3 linked regions of the Ovis aries genome follow. The protein of the gene in region 1 interacts with the protein of each later gene in a pairwise test. Links are inferred from orthologs where the notes say so. Each region holds a gene or a part of one and is shown on either strand. Other genes may lie near its edges.

Region 1 (6,199 bases):
ATTGGTCCCATTGAATATCCACAATACAAAAGCACAAAAGAACCATTGATTTACAAAAGGAAATCTGTTTAAAATCAATTCATGATGTTTCAAAGGATTATCTTCTCATGCCAGCATGAAACTGAGTTGAACCTATAAGACAGGAACAGGATAGTTCAATGATTTCAGATCAGATTGTGACTTAGACTAACTAGTTCATGATGGGCAGAAGATTATTCCCTATCATTAAAAAACAATGCTTTGTTTGCTCTTAAAGAAGTTTTATTCAAATGTGATTTTTTTAAAAAGAGATTTTGAATATATATATTCAAAAGCGTCTGTGGCTGTCTCCATAGCATGCTAAGTGAGATTAACATTAAGATTTTCTGTAAAGTGCCCTGTGGGCTGAATGTTCTATACAACATTTTGCTCTTCAAAATCCTGTGAAATTTAGATGCTCAGACCAACGAAGTCCAGCTATGATAATAAGTTTCCTATAGCAACAAGTTGTTTGAGTTGGACAATTTCTTGTATGAAGAGATAAACTATTAAAAATAACCAGTGATGAGTCCTATCTATTTTGTAGGAATAGCAGAAAAAAGGGTCTCTAATAATAGTTATATATATATATAATATGTCTGTCTGTGTGTATGAAAGTTGACCTAAAGGTCATTAAATTGAAATGATTGAAAACCTTTGAATCAGGAGTGAACTGAATAGAGGGAAAGAGGTTTTTCTCACAATCCACTTCTAAGAATGAAATTTTTTGTGTGTTTTTGAGGAGAACAAATAAAAGGTCATCCTTACAGTCTTTGGACTGGGATGGGTTCCTCGCATCATACATAAAAGCACAAGGTCGGAACAAAGATTATAGCTGCACTAAGTGATTAAAGAACCCCTGTCTTCCTCTCGCCTCCCTATGCCTTATCTGCATGCTCAGAAATGACTGCTTTGGAACAAGCCCTCCAGCAGTCTCTGGAAGCTTCAGAGTATCTGCACATCGGTGCTCATCGTGCATCTCACCTAATCTTCTCAATGAGACGAGCAGGGATTTTTTTGGGGGAAGAGTGGGATCCAGGGTGATAAATCCTGTTTTGTCTTAAATTCCTAAAGTGTAGCCTGATAACTCATGCACTGAACTAGAAAATTTGATTAATAATGAGGAAAGTCAAAGAATTTAAAAAAGAGAAAGAGTTCCAGGACTATCTAGCACTGTGGTGCTGCCAATACTTGGTTAAGCTGAGGGTACCTGACTGTACAGTTCCAAGTCGTCTTTGCAGTGCCTCTAGCCGAGTGATGTAATCTGTCAAGGCTCTGTCGGGATCATAATTCTGAAGCTGAGAACATGCTAAGGAACCAGGGTTTAAATCAGCTGGAAGGCCTGGGTACCTATGAGATTAAAAATATGAAGATGAATCCAGATTATCCAGAAACAATGCAAGTAACTTACCAACCTACCTCCACCCTGCCCTCAAAAGGCAGACCACATGTATACTCCCCAATCTATATGCATCCCCCCACCTCTGAGTCTGCCATGTGTTAAGGAAAAAAGTTGTCAATAAATTCAAAGCAGTCACTAAGTCATCAAAAGAATGTCCAACACAACTGCTACTGCAGAGAACATCAATGAAGGCTCAAGTGTATAAGTGCATCTTGTCCTGCAAACTTCAGAGATTTTTCTTCATAATTCCAGAGACTCAATTTTAGTTAATGCCTTTCTTAATGTCTAGCCACAGCACATATACTGAATAATGCTTGATCAGCTCTGTTTCCTTTACCCCTGGAAACCAATTACAAATTCAAAAACTATTTTTGGTTCTGGGCATTAGCTTATGTAAACAATATATAACTAACGACATGTTTAGCTATTTCATTGCAAAGAAGTCAAAGACCCAAGAGTGTTCTTCATTCTCTGTTATTAGGACTGATGCTGAATCTGAAGCACCAATACTTTGGCCACCTGATGCAAAGAGCTGACTCACTGGAAAAGACCCTGATGCTGGGAAAGACTGGGGGGGGGGTGCAGGAGGATAATGGGGTGACAGAGGATGAGGTGGTTGGATGGCATCACCAATTCAATGGACATGAGTTTGAGCAAACTCCAGGAGATAGTGGAGGACAGGGAATCCTAGTGTGCTACAGTCTATGAAGTCACAAAGAGTTGGACATGACTTAGTGACTGAACAGTTACAACACTGGTATAGATTTTATCAAACTCTTACCTATTCTGAAACGGCAAAGGAGACCTTGGATAGTCCAGATCTGATCTTGAGCGGTATGCAGTATGTCTCGGTTCTCCATAGAGCTCCAGCCCGCCAGGAGAATGATAAAATGTGTCAGTCTTTTCTGCACCTAAAGTAATCCAAAATGTACCTTGTAAAGAAAAGAAAAATACCAAGCCCTTGAAAAATTTCTACAAAACAGATAAGGTTCAAAAGATTGCACTGTACTACACTATCTCCTATTTATAATCATTTTCAATTATTCTTGCTACAGAAATAGCAAGATAAATTGCTAGAGAAACAATAGTATAGCGTATTTTTTTTACCTTTGAACATCAGAATTTGATAATCTGGAACTATACCTCTAAGAAAAAATTTTACTTTCTTACTCTGAGTGAGGAGTGTCTAAGTGTGTGTGTTATGAGAAAAGGCAATGTGGATGAACAATATTAGACTGTTAGTTCTATTAAGTCCTTTCATCACTCTATTCTACTGACTTTCATTGGAAAAAACTGGAACCAAGACATACTAACTTACAACACAGAGTTCATTACGGTTTAAATTTCAGCTGTTTCAGTATAAGGATGTATGTGTGCGTGCTCAGTCATGTCTGACTCTTTGTGACCCTATGGACTGTAGCCCTCCAGGCTGCTCTGTCTATGGAATTCTCCAGGCAAGAATACTGGAGGGGGTTGTCATTCCCTTTCCCAGGGGATCTTCCTGACCCAGGGATTGAACTCGCATCTCCTGCGTTAGTAGGGAGCTTCTTTACCACTGAGCCACTGGGATGCATGTTTCAAAAACACTTCTTTTAGAATAATACCAAACCTATTTCTTCTGCCTCTGCACAGAAGATGAAAAGGTGGTTCACTACCAGTGCATGTCAGCTATGCTGTGTGTCTATAGCTCCGTGTGCTCCCCAGCTTCTGATCTGCTCCTTTTGCCTGAAATGCTGAAGCCCTAGTGTTTGAGTATAGAGACAAGGATTTTTAACTTTTATATCACCTATTGGTAAACCCAGAAACCTGTTTAATATTGCTAAATTGTGAAAACTTCAAATTGAAACTTCCACATAATAGAGTAAGAGCAATCCTATCTCAAACCAGAACCTAAAATGCAGCTGAACAAAGAGTGGGCTCTGGAGCCGACTGCTAGGGCCACCATTTCCTACCGGGTAATTTGTTGCAAATGACAAAAGCTTTCTGTGCTTCAGTTTTTCATCCATAATTTTGCTTACGTCACAGAATTGTGAGAATACATGGAAAAGAGTGGGGCCTAGTGTGAACTAAGCGTGCCATAAAAATCAGCTCTTTTACTATTCTTCAGAACAGCAAGGTCCTCAGCTTTGTTAGTTATAAGGGCTCTGCCTTTGGACAACACAGGTCCCAGAACACATTACTTGGAAGGTATGCAGTAATTTTAGAGAAATCATCAACATAAGAAAAAATTCTATTTTGACTTCACCTGGATTCAATCCAAAGCCATCCCTGTTAATATTGATGGAACCAGAACTTGTGACTCGATGCCACCGTCGAACCAAAAATTTCATTCTAAAAAAGATTCCAATGGAAAATTTCACAGAACATCTATAGTGTAAAGAGTATAGACACACACTTTCTACAGAATCCAAGTCATACATTTAAATATTAATACAGATAAAATTTCAATATAATCACATGGTTAATATTTTGTAAATGTCCCCTGGTTTGTGATGAAACTAACTGAAACAGAGCAGGGCTTTTCCCGCGAGACACAGAGGGCTTCTGCTGCCAGGACCATGTTCTGGCTTTAGAGGAACGCGGAACACAAAGAGAGGAAGAGCAAACGTAACAGAAAAGGGGAGCTGGACGGGCAAAGAAAGGGCGAGGAAAAATGGAAAGAGGAGAAAAGCATGGAGCCCAAGGGCAGAGGAGATGGAAGGAGAACAGAAAGATCCTTAAGTTGGCAGTGAGAGCGAGTGGGGAAGCAGGAAAAGGAGTGAGGCCATGCAGTCAGGGATGAAATACAGTGCTGGCTTCATAAGGAACAGGGGTTGCTATGTCACAACTCAGCTGTAGCAAGTTGCTGCCTGCCCCATTCTGTCCCTAAGAGCTCATGGAGCACCAGTTTTGATTTCTTATTCCAACTAGTTTCAAGGCTCGGTTTTTAGGACAGTCAAAATACAACGAACATACAAGAGAAGAAGACAGTGACAGTGTGAAGTCCTTCAACGGTAACAGGCTCTCAAGGAGCCTTCCCGAGTCCTTGAAACAGAGATGAACAGCTAACTCTTGTGACCTCTCACTTACTGCCGGGAGGTCCGTGCATATTGCTCTGCCCAGGAGAGAGTGAGCAGCCTTTGGCCTTCAAGGATTAAGTCTCTTTTCTTTGTCAACGCACCTCCCAGCACTTAAACCCTGTATAGGCTGTACCAGGTAATGAAGGGAATGAAAGGAAGGAAGAAAGCTCTTTGCTTTCTCCAACCCTCTAATTCTTGTACCAGTGCTGAGAAATGTCAGAACCAGACAGGAAGCCATCTGGGAGACACAGTCTGCAGGCTGTAAGGTCCTGGCAGTGTGGAGGCCAGCTGAGAAGGGCAGTGAGGAGCTGAGAGATAGCACATGGTCCCCAGGACACAAAAACACTAATACCACCTCTTATTCTGCCTCTGTGGCCTTCTGAGGTACTTGTGAGTAACCTGAATACAATGGGATTGGATAGTACTTTAAAAAAAATGTCCTTTGAGACTGTCTGCCTCCTACAGAAGCAGAGGGAGGGGCAGCAAGGACAAAGCATCGAGGTGTCTGGGTGCATCCAGCCAGGTGAGAGGGCGGCGGGAGGCTGGGTCGTCAAGGGAGTCAGATTCTTGGCTCCACTTCAGCCACATACAGAGTGAGCGTGGGAGTGCCTAGCTTGGAAGGGCCAGAAAAGGAGCAGCAAATGCCCCAGCAGAGCCCAACACAGACTCATGCCAGGGATTTCAACAGTTGGGCTGCTGGAGGGGCCGTGGTAGTAGTGAAGAAAACGAAGCTATGTCAGCCGAGGTAACTTTTCAAAAAACAGTTTTCTCCGTTATGATCTCTTTCCTTTATACGTCTGAACTAGTTCATGGGCTTATTTAGATTAAAAAAAAAAGAGAGAGGGACCACCCAGACCGGATATTCCAGCTGAGTCACTGGCTGGCTGCCTCTGGGAGGGCCCTTTCCGTAGGGTCTGTCCGGTATGAGGTGAAGTTCCCCTCCCTTACTAGAGGATGAAAACCTGCACAGAGGGAGGCGTGTTTCAGTGACGGCAAGTGACTCCTACTGGATGACTACAGGGCGCAGAAGGCAGAGCAGAGAGAGAGGACGAAAAATAACCAAGTTTCTCAGAATGCGAAAATGCATTCTCTACTCAATGCCTTTTCTCTCGAGTACCTCACCTGGAAATCGCCATGGACACTCTGACGGCTGACCGAAACCTGGTGAAGCCCTTTGGTCGGTTGGTGATCACCTCCAGGTCTGTGAAGGCCGGCTGTCCCCCCATGCGGGCCAGGAGGGCCAGGGTGGCCTCCTCACACTCCTGGAACCCGCCCAGTAACAGAAGCAGGTATTTCTTCTGATAAATGAGAGCTTTCCGAAAGCTTTCTGCCCTCAGGTATTTGCCATAAATCCTCTGTGTTTAAAGGGAAGAAAAACAGAAGGACATTATTCAAACCGTTCTGCAGGGGAGGATAATCTAGACTTTATTTTTAAAAAGTAGCAGGAGTAGAACGGCTGGTACCTGATCACTGTTTTCTATTTTACCAGCAAAGTGAAAAGTAAAGCTAGACCTTGATACTTCCACTTCCATTTAGTCCATGAATTTTAGCTCCTATTAGTTGTATTTAATGTAAATATTTTTGTCTCAGCCAAAAATAGTATAAAGCTTTTAGAGTACAGAGTATAATAATACAGAGCTACTTTTATTATTATCACCACATTTAACTTTTTCAATGTTAATATTTTCTATCTCTTTAAACGTCATAAACTTACATTCAC
Region 2 (6,742 bases), on another chromosome or scaffold:
CCCCTGGGCCACCGTCCTCCCCACGCCTTTCTGGGCGAGGCGACCCTTAGGATATGTGAGCCGCTCGTCCCTGCTCCATCATGGGGTGGGTTTTCAGGAGACGATGCCGTATTCATCAGTACGAGCAGCCCTCAGTGACTTGAAGGGGATTTCTAGTTGTTCAAATTGCAATTCTATGAAATCACAAGCAAAGGGAAATACACATCCATTCCTCTTTGCTTGAGGCTGTGACCTCTTTGCAGGCGTCCGCCCTCCTTAATTGGGAGCAGAATTCCTTTGTGCCAAGCAGCTGGGATTCTCTTTGGAGCTCCTGGGTGCTGGGGAGTTAGTCTTCCACGGCTCTTCGTCCGTCCCCTGCAAAGCTCTGAGTAAACTGGATTTGGGACCTCATCTTTATTCCTAACGTCAAGCAGGAAAGAGAGACTGGGATAGACTGTTCCCTGTTTCTCCTGTGTGCCTTCTCAAGGTCTGCAGACCTCCCTGACCCCGTGTCCCAGGAAGACCAGGGCTGAGCAACAATAAGAACCAACATCTGTATCATACTTGAGATTTTACAAAGCCCTTTCCCATCCATGGACTCAATTAACCTTACAATTGACTCAAGTATTTGCTGCCACTGTAATTATTATGAGGCCATTTCATAGGTGAGGAGACCAGGGCTCAGAACATTTGGCTAACTTGCCCAAGGCCACACAGCTCGCAAGTAGCACAATTCCCTTAAATCCAATTCTGATGATTCTAAAACCTGGCTTCTTTTGATCATATCAGACCCCTTGATCAGCTGTGTTGAAGCTGGTTGGTATCATGAAATCATGAGAAGCTGGGAAAAGGTAAGTCACGCTGTCTGTTGTTACCCCTTGGGAGGGTCGGCGTGTACAAGTGACTTCAGCTGGGCTCAGTCAGCGTCTAAAGTGCTGCACAGAAGCAAGGGGCCCTACCAGCCAGGGCCTTTCTGCCCAGAGGCCCAGGAAGCTCAGAGTCAGCCCTGTGATGCAAACACCAGCATCTCTGAAGACAAAGGACCTTCTTGCTAGAAGAATACTTCCAAATCTCACCCATGCCAAAAGTCAAGTCAGAAGAAGTTAACATAGCAGAGAGACTGTCGCCTCTTTACAAAACAAACCACTGCAAATTAGCTTTACATGGTGAGCCCCGTGAGTGAGTGCATTTGAGAGTGAATCAATTTACACTAAATAAAATTATGCAGTTGTTTCTCTCTCAGAGGTGAGGGGCACACCGTGCTGGCCTTGGATTTGTCCCTGACTCATACTGGACTCCGAGCTTCCTAGTCACCTTGGAATCCCTAGCCTGCAGTCAGTGTGAAGCAAGGAGTTTTTTTTTTTTTTTTAATTGTTTAAATGAGAAAATAAATACATACAAATGAGTACATCGGGGATAAATGACTCAATAACAAATGTGCAAGGGTGGAGGAACTTCAGTGAAGGAGCTGGTGAACCAATGAGGATGTGAACAGGGTATTTCTCCAGGAGAGCATATGGTAGATTCAGGATGGATGCACCTGGGGTTTTCCCATGGATCACGCTTCCTTACACCGTCTCACCTCAAAGGTGGGGCTTGAGAAAGAGGGTGGAGAGAACTTTGGAGAGAAAGGACCATGCTAAACCCCTTTACTTCAGTTCCTGTTTTAAGAATCAGGGGCTAAGTCCAGCGGGCCAGCTCAGAGGGGCTTCACATGGAGTAGAGAAGACCCACCTCTCATGCAGGATGCTAAGCCTGCTGCAGTCGAGGAGGAGGAAATGCCACTGGGAGCCCAGGGGCAGTGGAAGGGGGAGGGGCACAGGGGCAGAACGAGAAGATCTTCAGGTTGTATCTCCTTCTCTCTTTGCCCTCCCTGGGCTCGGCCAGGCTGGGCTGGGGCAGCAGGCTCCCAGGGGCCTGCCCCTTCTGTACACCTGCACGCCATTCTGGCAAGCAGCCAGGGAGGGGAGAGAAGACTGAGAAATCTTAGGCGCTGAGCACCTGTCGTGGAGCAACGGAACACTACCTGGAGGGACTATTTAAGCTCTTGGTTCGGACTATGGTTTAAATCAGAATGGACATTTATTTGATTTTTTTTTCATCTCTCTACCCAGTGGGTGGCAGCTCTTACAGGAGATTAAGTTAAATAGACGAACGAAAGAAACTACATTTTCCCGGAGTAAATAAGTTGTGTGAGTAAAACCGTCAGCCTTGCAAGCGTTTCCCCCACCCCTTTGTGTCTGACGCCTCTTAGCTCTCAGTCCAAGACCAAGACTGTGTACCAAGCCACCTCAGCCGGTAGAAGCTAAGATTGCTAGGTTGTAGTTGAAATAAAACGGCCACATAATTTGTCATCTGGGACGCTTGAGAGTGAAAGGGGGTACAATGAATAATTATGCTGGGACAAAAGACCAAAACGGGGACTGTCCCAAGTAATCCAGGCCACGTGTCATCCGACTACAAAGCAAGCCCCAGGAGGCGGTGGGAAACGAGGACTGTGCCGTCGGTCAGGCTTCCCTGGGAGCCCAAGTACTTCACAGCCCAGGATTAGCCAAGCGGCTCTGAAAGACACAGCACAGAGTGAGCCGGAATCCAGACAAAGGAAAATGAGAAACAGGCACACGTGTGTGTGTGTGTGCGTGTGTGTGCGTGTGTGTGCACGTGTGCGCGTGTGCGTGTGTGCGTGTGTGCGTGTGTGTGTGCATGTGTGTGTGCGCGTGCGTGTGTGTGCGTGTGTATGCGCGTGTGTGTGCATGTGTGTGTGCGCGCTTGTGTGTGTGCGCGTGTGTGTGTGTGCGCGCGCGCGTGTGTGTGCGCGTGTGTGTGCGTGTGTGTGCGCGCGTGTGTGTGTGCGTGTGCGTGTGTGTGTGTGTGTGTGTGAGATGCATGCGCACGCGTATCTGGCAGTCGGTCTGATGGTGTCCCTGTGAAGAAAGTAACTAATGAGCCCACGGCTCTTTGTGAATGAGGCTCCTTGTGAGCCACAGCGCCTCCCTGGACGGCCACCACCGGATAACTGGGCCCGGACCTGCTCACTCACCTGGTACTGGGGGAAGGTGGAGGGGTTTGTGAACACGGGCGGAGGTGCGTAGTTCAGGTTGAGCCAGAGGGGCTGGTTCAGAGTTGCTGAGGTCAAAGCGGTGGCAAAGCGTGGGGTGAACACGTTCCCCGTGTACTTGAGGTTGTTCTTGTCGGCCCCGGTCACAGGTGGGTTAACTGTAAGTCACAGGAGAGGTAGAACGTTTCGTGATTGAGGAAGGGAGAGGCCAGCCTGCCCCAGCTCCATGACTGCCCCCAGAGTTAGTGTTCTCACCAGTCAGGTATTTTAAGGCTCCCAGAGCGTTCTTCAAAGCTCAAGGAAAACACTGTTAGTTCACATCTTGCCAACGTGGAAGGGGTGAGAGGCCCAGCATGGTCTGCCATGGAGCATCTCCTTCACGACTCACAAGTAAGGAGGCAGTTTAGCAAGAGATACAATCAACCAGCTTGTCTCACCTACGTGCAAAACTATATTCCTTCAAGTGCTTCGGAAAAATCCAGTTTGATACAAACAATTGCTACGCTGTGGGAAGCCATTCTTATCAAATTGTTAAAGCACCCCACTGGGGACATGCACTTGGCAACAGCGAGGACCTTATGTAGGTGTTGCATCTATGCCAGAGTCATTTTTTAAAAATATTTAAAAATATTATATAATCCCCTTTGGTAAGATCCCAAATTAGTCTGAATGAATGATATTTGATGGAGTTGTTTCAGGATATGAATCCTGGATTCTTTCCTTCTATAATATGTCCTGTGGGATTAAGAGTTAGAGATGGGGTATCAGTGTCCCCTTTTTAGCACCTTTTGTTGAGGGGAGAATGTTTTACTAAAACAGTTTTAGATGTACAAGGGAGAGAAAGCTGAGACGTGAATAATCGAAATGTAGAAATGATCTTTTTTTTTTTTTTCAAAATGTAGAAATAATCTTAAAGCACGGGATTTTCTTTGGCTCAGGCAACTTGAGGGGACATAAGACATGCTGAGTCAGGGCTATATTCAAATTAACCACCAATAAGGCCCATGTGACCCCTGAAAGTCAGCTAGATTTCTTGAGCTCTTCCCTGTAGGGGTGACACAGGAAGAAAGCCATTTCCCCATTTTACAGGACTAGGGAAAGACAGTGACCTGCCCATGGATGACAGCCGTTTGAGGACAGAGCTACTCCAGGGGCCTATGAGGGTTTCTGAAATCCCTTCCTGCATAGACTCTCTTCCTGCATAGAGAGATCTGGGCAGGGTCAGCTTACGTTTCAGCTCCAGCCTGTCCACCTCCACTTTGCCACGAAGTTTCAGCTGCCCGCTTGGGTTCTTGGTGGCCCCAAGGACCTCATAGAGCAGGTTCTTCTCAGCCTGCCAGGCAGGCTTCTTGGCCGGCAGAGCCATGGGGTCACTGCCACCCTCCTCACCACAGGTGTCCTTCCGGCTCGGGGACCACTGGCTGAGAAAGAGGCTCTCTCGGCCCCTGGTCAGCTCCTTGGCACCTGGGTTCCGTTCTAGAGCAGGAGAGAAGCTGAGTCAGTGACTCTGGAAGACCACATGCTGGATGGGGGGAGCATGGTCTTGTGGACAAAGTCATGGATCCTCCGCAGCACACCTGAGACTCCCACCACTCTGGGCTCTCTCTCAACCAAGTTCAGTCCAAGTCCAGTCCCTGAAGCCTTCCCTGACCAGCGCCCATGACGGTCTCACACCCTTGCATGCATGAATGCATTCATCCATTCTTGTCTTCTTCCGTCTGTCCACCCATCCATCCATCCTTTTACCCACCCATCCATCTTTCCTTCCTTCCATCCACTCATCCATCCTCCCTTCCCTAATCCCATTCTCTCCTCCTTAAAAAACTTCCTCCCTTTTAGTTCCCTCTCTTTCCTTACCTTCTTTTCTTTCTTTTCTTCCTTCCTCTTTTCCTCCCTGCCGCTTCTTCCTTTCTCCCTCTTTTTGCCTCCCTTCCTTCCCTCTAACCATTTGTAGGTTGGATCACAAAGGTTCCGGATAGTTCCTGTCTTCAGGGAGCACACTTGGCTTAGTGGCGGTGGGGGGGGGGGGTGGTTGGCGCAGACACATTCCCACACAACACGCAGCTGGTCCCTTGTCAGAGACTCTCCTCTTGCTAAGTCGTCGTGGCGATTCAGCACACTCATCAGCGCCAGGCTCTGACCTGAGTCCTGGGGACACTTGGATGAGTCAGAGCCAGACTTGGCCCAGCAGGAACTCACAACACGGAGGAAGAGAGAGACAGACCCAGAAATAGCTCCGGGACAAGGCAGATGGGGACCGTGAGGTGATGGAGGGACACAGCGGGGGAAGAGGGCGGCTGAGACAGCTTCTGTCTGAGGACCGGAGGGATTCCAGGAGGAGGAGGTCTGCAGCGAGGCCCTGCACCCAGAGCCATGGGTGACCGCAGGCAAAGGCACAGAGGCACGAGTGAGCCACTGGCTGCTGCCGGTGCCAGGCTCAGCTCTCTCTCTCCAAACAGACCAAGTCTCCCTTGTGCAAGGACACTGCCTAGACCACCAAGGATCCCCCTACAACAGTGGCTTTTCACCCGATTTTCCTTTTGAGCGATGGAACTCTTTCTTCCAACAAAACTCTTTCTTCCAACAAAGTATGGCAGGGGGATGCACCATACTGCAAGCGTAAATACATGGTTCGTGTATGCTCAGTTACGTCCGACTCTTTGTGACCCTATGGACTGTAGCCTGCCAGGCTCCTCTGTCCATAGGATTTTCCCAGCAAGAATACTGGAGTGGGTTGCCATGCCCTCCTTCAGGGGATCTTCCTGATCCAGGGACTGAACCCAAATAATCTGGGTCTCCTGTATTGCGGGCCAATTCTTTACTGCTGAGCCACCAGAGAAGCGTATAATATATATACATATATATATATACATATATATATATATATATATATATATATTTTTTTTTTTTTTTTTAAGGCACTGCTTGGCTGAAGCAGAGAAGAGGGCCTTGCTCTCAGCACCTTCATGCTTCTCCCAGCTTGGAGGTCCTGGTCTCCATGGAGCTTGGCTGTGAAATGGCACTGGACACATGGCGGGCACAGTGGATCATGCTGGTAGCAATAGGATCAGAGGGCTTGTGCCCATAATCACCTGTTGGGAGTGGACACGATCCCACCAACTCTTAGTCCCACTAGCCCATGGCCTTGGGGCTGAGTCTGGACAGGATGGGGCCTGCCCGCTTACTGCCATCCCAGCAAAGGAGAAAGCTGCTCTAGCCTGAGCCAGAAGAAAATGACAGTTTTTAGCAAAACATGTCCCTGGTGTCTTTTCCTAGAGCTTGTCTCGTTGCAGAGTGTGGCCCCCAGCCAGTGCTGAGATAACAGTACCCACTAATAATAGCCCTCTCCCCAGAGGCCCACACACCTGCCATCACAGCCCACCCCAGCCACCTGAAACACACTTGCCACTCACTCATCTCCAAAGCTCCCTCTTCCAAAGGCTATATACACAGACACACACACACACACACACATCCCTTCCTGCCATTCCTTTCGCGTGCTCACACACATACACAGCTACACACACAGAAGGGTTACACTCAGATGTGCCCAGACTGCATTTCCATCTGCAAAGTTCCTCTCAGCACACCTTCACGCACACACCTGTACACACACATGCAAATGGTGGGAAGGTGTGTGGGACAGAACTGTCTCCAAACCAGCAGCCCTGTCTGACAGAGGAGAGAAGGAGGTGGGAGGCATGT
Region 3 (7,485 bases), on another chromosome or scaffold:
GTTATGACCATGGGTGTGTCTCTAGATATCATGATGATAGTATACACATCTGCGCTTCTCTGGTGGCTCAGTGGTAAAGAACCCGCCCATCAACGCAGGAGACATGAGTTCAATTCCTGGGTTGGGAAGATCCCCTGGAGGAGGAAATGACAACCCACTCCAGTATTCTTGCCTAAAAAATCCTATGGACAGAGGAGCCTGGTGGGCTACAGGCCATACAGTTGCAGAGTCAGACACGACTGAGCCGCTAAATGGTAACATGTGTGCATCTGGGCGTTGATCTGTGTGTACGTCAGAGACGCCACCAGCAGTGAGAGGCTGCATGTTGCCCGGTCTCCGGGGGTTACTGAGTATGGTGAGGGAGTCTCTGCCACGTGTTGATCTGACATCACCCACAGTCATCCAGTTTCCTCTCTGCCCCCACCCAAGCTGCCCACACTCCAATCCTGCTGCAGAGTCACTCCACAGCCCTCTGTCCCCAACCCAGAGTGCCCCAGCCTCCTGCGGGGCAGATGGAGGCACCACCCCGCCCCCCACCACAGGCTCCAGCCTGGGATGCGCCCACAGGTATACATGCACATGGAGGGGTGTGCACGCACGCTGCTCCCACCTTGGTGCTGCCGTTGCTATACGTCTGGATCATGTTCTCTGCCCCCTGCTTCACCTTCAGCTCGATGGCCAGCTGCTTCTCCAGACCGGCTACGCGGCTCAAGTTGGTGGCTGAGCAGGCAGAGTCACCTGTGCCAGGGGACTGGGGGGCATCTGGAGGGGTGGATGGGGCAAAGTCACCACAGCCCTCCTCTCCAACTGCCCAGGTGCTTTTGCGCCAGCTGAGAGGATCCACCCCAGGCCTGTGAGGAGGAAGAGCTGGGGGCCACAGGGTCCACTCCCCACCAGCCCTCATAGGGAAACCCTTTCAGGGCTGGGGCAGGACCAGTGTGAATGAACACAGGTGTGTGTTAGTCGTTGGTGTGATCGTGTATACCTTTGTAGAGAAGGTATATACACCCCAAAGATGTGCAAGGCTGTGTAGGCGTCAGCGGGTGTGGCTGTGGTTAAGTCTGTGACCTTCAGGGTGCTGGCATAACTGAGTGTGTCTCCCCAGGTGCCAGTGTAACTGTGAGATGTGAGGTGTTAGAATGCCTCTGTGAGATTCTGGGTGATGGGGATGGCTCTGTGCACGTCTGCAACTGTCAGCAGAACTGAGCATTCAGATCTCCTGGCGCTGGTGTGACAGCATCCGAGTGCTGGAACAGCTGGACATGTATGTCTCTGGACAGCTCTGTGTCAATCTCCAGAGAGTGGTATGACCATCAGAGGCACTCTGGGTACAGCTGTGACAGGATGAGGTTTTGAGCGTTGGCTGAACTCTTTCATTATCTTCAAGTGTTGATCCAATAGTGTTGCTGCTGCTGCTAAGTTGCTTCAGTCGTGTCCAACTCTGTGCGACCCCACAGACGGCAGCCCACCAGGCTCCTCCGTCCCTGGGATTCTCCAGGCAAGAACACTGGAGTGGGTTGCCATTGCCTTCTCCAAGGCATGAAAGTGAAAAGTGAAAGTGAAGTCGCTCAGTCGTGTCCGACTCTTAGCGACCTCATGGACTGCAGCCTACCAGGCTCCTCCATCCATAGGATTTTCCAGGCAAGAGTACTGGAGTGGGGTGCCATTGCCTTCTCCGTCTGATAGTGTTAGCCTCCAGCTATTGACACACCAAAGAGGTGTGTGGGTGTTGGGCTAAGTGATGCTGAGTCTCAGGTCTTGTCCAGTTGACTGTGTTAAGTATCAGGCTGTTTATGGGTTGGTAAACTCCTGTGGCAGCGGCTCTGTGTGTCTGAATCTCTGGGTGTTGCTGTGAGCGTGTGTGAGTCCTCAGGTTTTGTGTGTGTGTTGGTGTGATTGCGTATGCATTTATCTGGGCACTGGCTGGCAGTATGGACGTCTCTGGGTATTCACAGAATAATGCTGCTACTGTTTAGTCACTCAGTCACGTCCGACTGTTTAGCAACCCATGGAGCGTAGACGGCCAGGCTCCTCTGTCCATGAGATTTCCCAGGCCAAGAATACTGGAGCGGGTTGCCATTCCCTTCTCTGGGGGATCTTCTCGACCCAGGGATCGAACCCACATCTCCTGCACTGCAGGCAGATTCTGTACCGCTGAGCCACAGGGTGGGCCCTCAGAGTAGTCTGGGTGCTGGCGTGACTGTGTGTGAGGGTCTCTGGCTACTGATGTGATGTGTGTTACATCTTTTAGTTGTAAGATGAAAAAGTTCTGCAGATTCCTTGCACAAAAATGTGAAAATACTCAACACCACTGAGCTGTATGCTTAAAAATGATACGTTTTCTGTAATGTGTTTTTTTCCAAAACGTTTTATTTTATATTGGAATATAGGTGATTAAGGGACTTCCCTGGTGGCTCAGTGGTAAAGAATCTGCCTGTTAAGCAGGAGATGCAGGTTCAATCCCTGGGTTGGGAAGATACCCTGGAGAAAGAAATGGCAACCTACTCCAGTCTTCTTGCTGAAAAATCCCATGGACAGAGGGGCCTAGCAGGCTGCAGTCCATGGGGTCACAAACATGGGGTCTAAACGGAAGCAGTAACAACAGCCAACTAACAACGCTGTTATACTCTCAGGTGTTGTGTTTTTTTAATCACAATTAAAAAAATTTTTTAATCAGTTGGAGCCTATAGGTGTTGTCTAGGTGTGGGTGTGATTGTGACTGTGACTGTGGATATTTGTGTGATACCGTGTAAACCCTTTGGTGTTGTCCAGGTGTGGGTGTGACTGTGACTCTGGATATTGGTGTGATACCGTGTAAGCCCTTTGGTGTTGTCCAGATGTGGGTGTGACTGTGACTCTGGATATTGGTGTGATACCGTGTAAGCCCTTTGGTGTTGTCCGGGTGTGGGTGTGACTGTGAGTCTGGATATTGGTGTGATACCGTGTAAGCCTTTGGTGTTGCCCAGCTGTGGGTGTGACTGTGTGTACCTTTCCCTGAGTGTTGGTTTGGGCCTTTTGTCTGCCTGTATTGGGGCCTCCCAGGTGGCACTACTGGTAAAGAATCCGCCTGCCAATGCAGCAGACGCAAGAGATGCAGGTTCAGTCCTGGGTCGTGAAGATGCCCTGGCGAAGGAAATGGCAATCCACTCCAGTATTCTTGCCTGGGGAATTCCACTGGACAGAGGAGCCTGGCGGGCCACAGTCCGCAGGGTCACACAGAGTTGGACACGACTGAGCACTTGTCAGCAGTGATAGCAGCCACCTGCATTTTCAGGTTGGAAGCTGCCGTGACCGAGTGTGTCTCCCTGGGAGGCAGTGGCAATGGGCTGGCCGGCCGCACCCTGGGACACAGTGGGTGAGCCCTGGGCAGTGGAGGCCCCCAGTCCCGCATCCCCCACCCCCCAGCCCAGGGAAGCCTGGCTTACCGTGCACGCCCACCGCGGGGTCGGGCAGCACCACGTGGGCATGCAGCTCCTGCAGCTGCTGGTGCAGCAGGTCAAGCCTGCGTGAGGAGCCGCGCAGCACCAGCTCCACGGGACCGAGGTTACGGCCCAGGTCAGTGGTGGCTCGCCGCAGGTTCTCTGCACCCTCCTTCAGCTTCAGCTCCTTACGGATCTCCCGCCGCAGACGCTCCCGCTCCAGCTCCAGCTGCTGCTGTACCCCAGGGGCTGCCAGGTCGGCACCTGCCAGGCCCAGCTGCTCCAGCAGGGACCAGCTGCGTGGCTCACTCTGCGGGGGACGGAGCAGGGTCAGTGGGGCCAGAGCGGCTCTGGCAGTGCAGACCACATTCAGCTGACCTGGCCCGGCCTCCTCCTGGGGGGGGACTACTGACACAGGCCCTGCTCCATGTCCTCCGACAGTCCCCCAAAACTGGGAGGTGAGACAAGGCCCTGTGCCTGCTTCCTGACACCTCCAAACTGTGAGGTCCCAAGGGCAGGGCCTTCTCCTTGCCTGTCACCTCAGACAAGAGGACCACAGGTACACTTCAGTCTTCCCTCACTGTCCTCATGCAGTGGGATCCTGCAGGGCAGATTCCATTGCCCCATCACTGGGTCCCCACAGCTCGGGGTCCCCAAGGTCAGGCCCTAGCTCTCCTTCCACTGTCCTCCCAAATTAGGGGGGCCCAAGAACAGGCTTTGTCTCCCTCTGTTGCCCCCAAATGACCAGGTCCTGAGGGGAGACCCCCTCTCCCCTCTGCTGCCCCCCTAAACTAGGAGGTCCCAAAGGCAGGCCCCATCTCTGCTCCCTTATGCCCCACGTTAGGAGGGCCTGAGGGCAGCTTTCATCTTCCTTCTGCTGCTCCCCAAATGAGGAAGTATCAAGGGCAGGCCTGTGATGCCCCCCAGACCACAAGGTTGGGGTTCCAAGAGCAAGTTCCTTCTCCTCTTGGCTGTACCCTTGAACTAGGAGGACCTAGGGACAGGCCTCATCTATTCCCTGCTGTAACCCCAAACTAGGAGGACCCAGGGCCAGGCCTTGTCTATTCCCTGCGGTAACCCCAAACCAGGAGGGCCTGGAGACAGGTTTTGTCTGTTCCCTGCTGTACCCCCTAACTTGGAGATCCGGGGGCCAAGCGCCATCTCCCCTCCTTTTGTCATCTACAACTGGGACCCCAAAGAAAAGAGCACTGTTCCCTTCCTCCTCTATCCCCCCAACCTGGAAGCTCAAAGGGCCCCAAACAGTTTCATCTTTCAAACAGAAAACTCCAAAGCCAGCATCCCACCTCCTCTCCTCAGTCCAAAACCAAGCGGTACCGAGGGCAGGGCCCCTCCGGCCTGTGCCACTTGGGGTCCTCTTCTGCTGCCCCTCCCCCACAAGGACCCCAGCCCCCACCTCCAGCTCCGGGTCCAAAGGGGGATCAGCCTCCGCCATCCTGGGCCCCGGCTGAGGGCCCCGCCCTCTTCCTGAACCTCAGCCCTGCCAGGGCCTCTCGCCTGCTACTTCCTCTTTCCTGCTGGCTCCCAGCAACCCCTGCGAAGGCCAGCTCTGGGGCTCTGGGGCATCAAGAGCACCTTCCTCTCAGCCCCCACTCGAGGGCTGAGCCTGCTTCTCTGGGGTCATCCCAGGGGTGGCCCCTCTGCTCCCTGTCCTGAGGATGCCCAAGGTGTACGCAGCAGGCACACACACACGGGCCCGCTAGTGTGGACATGAAGAACAGCCTTCCCCACATATAGCTTCCCTACAACACACTTATACACCTACAGGCATCACAGGCTGGCCAGTGTGTGCCCACCCCCCACCCCCTGTATATACTTATATACACCAACACCCACAAGTGCTTACATGGGCGGGCCAGCCCCTTTCCTGTCCCAACTTCCGGCTTCTTCTCAGCTTGGTTGCCTGCTGCTGCTGACCACAGCTTGGAGGCCTGGGGGCCCGGCCGGCCCTGCGGTACCTCCCTGAGGCCCACATCATGAGGAGACAGCTCTGCAGGGCTGGAGTACCAGTGTCTCCACTTAAGCTCAAGTATGATTAAGAACCATGGAGGTTACTACAAGCTGCACACCAGGTCAACTAACGCCATTCCAGGAGGTGCTACTATCACTCCGTTTTCCAGATGAGGAAACCGAGGCCTGGGGCGGTGACCTAACTTGCCCAAAGCCTCATAGCCAGCAGGAGACAGAACTAAGATTTCCAACAAGAGTGCCCAGAATCAGAGCTAGTTGTCAGCCAGGCAGGAAGAGCCCCGCATATATTATCTGCCGCCACGGTGAGACCCCATTTCAGAGATGAGGAAAGTCAGGGTTCACTCTCGATCAACTTCAAGGGCAGCTGCCCCCAGAGAAGATTTACTTCAGGCCTAAAGTGTCACTCCCATGATCCTACTGACCCCTCAATTTTATCCTGAGCAGCTGCCATATTTCCCCTCCTACTTTACAGGTGAGGAGACTGAGCCTCAGAGGGATGGCAGCAGCAGTTCTCAATGGCGGAGGGGATTGCCAACACTCCCACCTCACTTCTGGGGGCAGCTGGCAATATCCAGAGCCATTCTGGGTTGGTTGTCATAACTGGGGCTGCTACTAGGCTCTATGGGGTTGAGTTCATGGAAACTGCTTGACATTCCACTGTAAACACGAGAGCCTCCACCTCCAAGAATGATTCAGCCCCAAATGTCAATAGTGCTGAGCTTTAGAAACCCTGGATTAAAGGACACAGACTCACACCCTGAGCTGCTGGCCATGACCACTGGTAAGGATTTCACAGCAGCCCTACCTGCAAGGGGCTGACCTGGTCTACGTCCTTCCTCACCGTGAAAACTCTCTTGGCTACATTTTTTTTTTTTTTTCAATTTTGACGGCAGAAACCAAGGCTCAAAGAGGGAATGGCGCTGGGCCTAGGACACACTGTGACGAAGTGGCAGCTCTGGAATTTACACCCAGGGTCACCTCCTACCACCTGCTATCAACCAGGTCCCACCGGCCACCCAGCCCCACCCTGTCCCCAGCAGGCAGAGCAGCGGTGCAGCCAGGAGCGGGGCCAGCTTGAATGAGGGGAGTCCGGGTTTGGGGGGAGGAGCAGAATCCCTCAGCCCCACCTCCTCCAGCAGCTGAGGGATGAGAATATGCAAAGGAGGGAGAGAGGGAGGCTGGGCCTCCCGGGTTCTCCTTCCTTGGATGACTCACTCCTATCCAGGGCAGGGGTCACCTGAGGGCCAACGAGATGAACCCATGAATCAGGAGCCTGGCCTGGCCTTGGGGAATCCCCAACACCCTCCAAGAAGCAGAAAACACCTCCCCTGCCCCAGGTCCAGAGGGTCCACTTCTCAGAAATTCCCTCTTCCTAGAGTGACCAGGGATCTAGACCCCATGTCCGGAGATTTCAATGCATTGGGCGTTTCTGGAATCCGGACAGGACATCCGTTTGCCGGACACAGAACAGACAGGCACACACACTGGGACAGACAGAGGGACAGGGGTAGCAGACCCAAGCAGCCACGAGAGAGAGAGGAATGACTAGGACGGGGTGAGGGTGGTGGTGGGGTGGGGTAGGGGGAAGAGAGCAGGCAGGAGACGGGAAAGGGGACCAGGGCGCAGGTCCAGCCTCGGTCCAGGAATCACAGTCTCCGTCCAGGCCATGTCTGCTACATGCCAAACGCATGCATGTGCCAGCGGAGTCCTACACTGTCCTCCCAGGGCTGATGGGGTAGAGGCAGGGACCCAGGCCCTCCCCAGCCCCCAAGGTCTGACCTTGTGTGATCGGCAACACCAGATACGCCCAGCTCCTCGGCAAGGCTGGCAGGCCATCAGCAGGACTGGGGCGGGGGACAGGGGGTCACGGGGGAGACACAAAGGGGATGTGGGGGCAGGTGCAGAAGGAGATGAGAACCCAGTTACACAGCAACCACAGGACGATGGAGAGCTGATGAGGCACTGTGGGGGCACCGGAGGTACAGGACATGTCTCAGATTTGGGTCACTGACCCAGAGAGGTTTCAGCAGTCATTCTGGCCCTGCTTACCACAGGCAGGGCAGGTGAGTCCCAGGCT

Evidence for each region.
Region 2: the proteins of AKAP9 (region 1) and C1H1orf94 interact in binary tests that used the Homo sapiens proteins (3 or more experiments, as listed by UniProt). The two-hybrid records come from large-scale screens. The link is inferred for Ovis aries from reciprocal best matches to the Homo sapiens genes AKAP9 and C1orf94.
Region 3: the proteins of AKAP9 (region 1) and PKN1 interact in a two-hybrid assay, tested with the Homo sapiens proteins (2 studies listed by BioGRID). The link is inferred for Ovis aries from reciprocal best matches to the Homo sapiens genes AKAP9 and PKN1.

What each region holds. Positions count from the first base shown.
Region 1 is NC_056057.1:10,195,558-10,201,756, reverse strand, and holds part of AKAP9 (A-kinase anchor protein 9), read right to left. Parts: intron 5,835-6,199; coding exon 5,602-5,834; intron 3,752-5,601; coding exon 3,666-3,751; intron 2,353-3,665; coding exon 2,202-2,352; intron 1,369-2,201; coding exon 1,182-1,368; 3' UTR 133-1,181; coding exon of another isoform or gene 98-132; 3' UTR 1-97. UniProt on the Homo sapiens protein: Scaffolding protein that assembles several protein kinases and phosphatases on the centrosome and Golgi apparatus. Required to maintain the integrity of the Golgi apparatus. Required for microtubule nucleation at the cis-side of the Golgi apparatus.
Region 2 is NC_056054.1:9,140,450-9,147,191, reverse strand, and holds part of C1H1orf94 (uncharacterized protein C1orf94 homolog), read right to left. Parts: intron 4,514-6,742; coding exon 4,268-4,513; intron 3,196-4,267; coding exon 3,020-3,195; intron 1-3,019.
Region 3 is NC_056058.1:9,644,443-9,651,927, forward strand, and holds the start of PKN1 (serine/threonine-protein kinase N1), read right to left. Parts: upstream 4,887-7,485; 5' UTR 4,873-4,886; coding exon 4,834-4,872; exon of another isoform or gene 4,724-4,833; intron 3,730-4,723; coding exon 3,426-3,729; intron 763-3,425; coding exon 611-762; intron 1-610. UniProt on the Homo sapiens protein: PKC-related serine/threonine-protein kinase involved in various processes such as regulation of the intermediate filaments of the actin cytoskeleton, cell migration, tumor cell invasion and transcription regulation.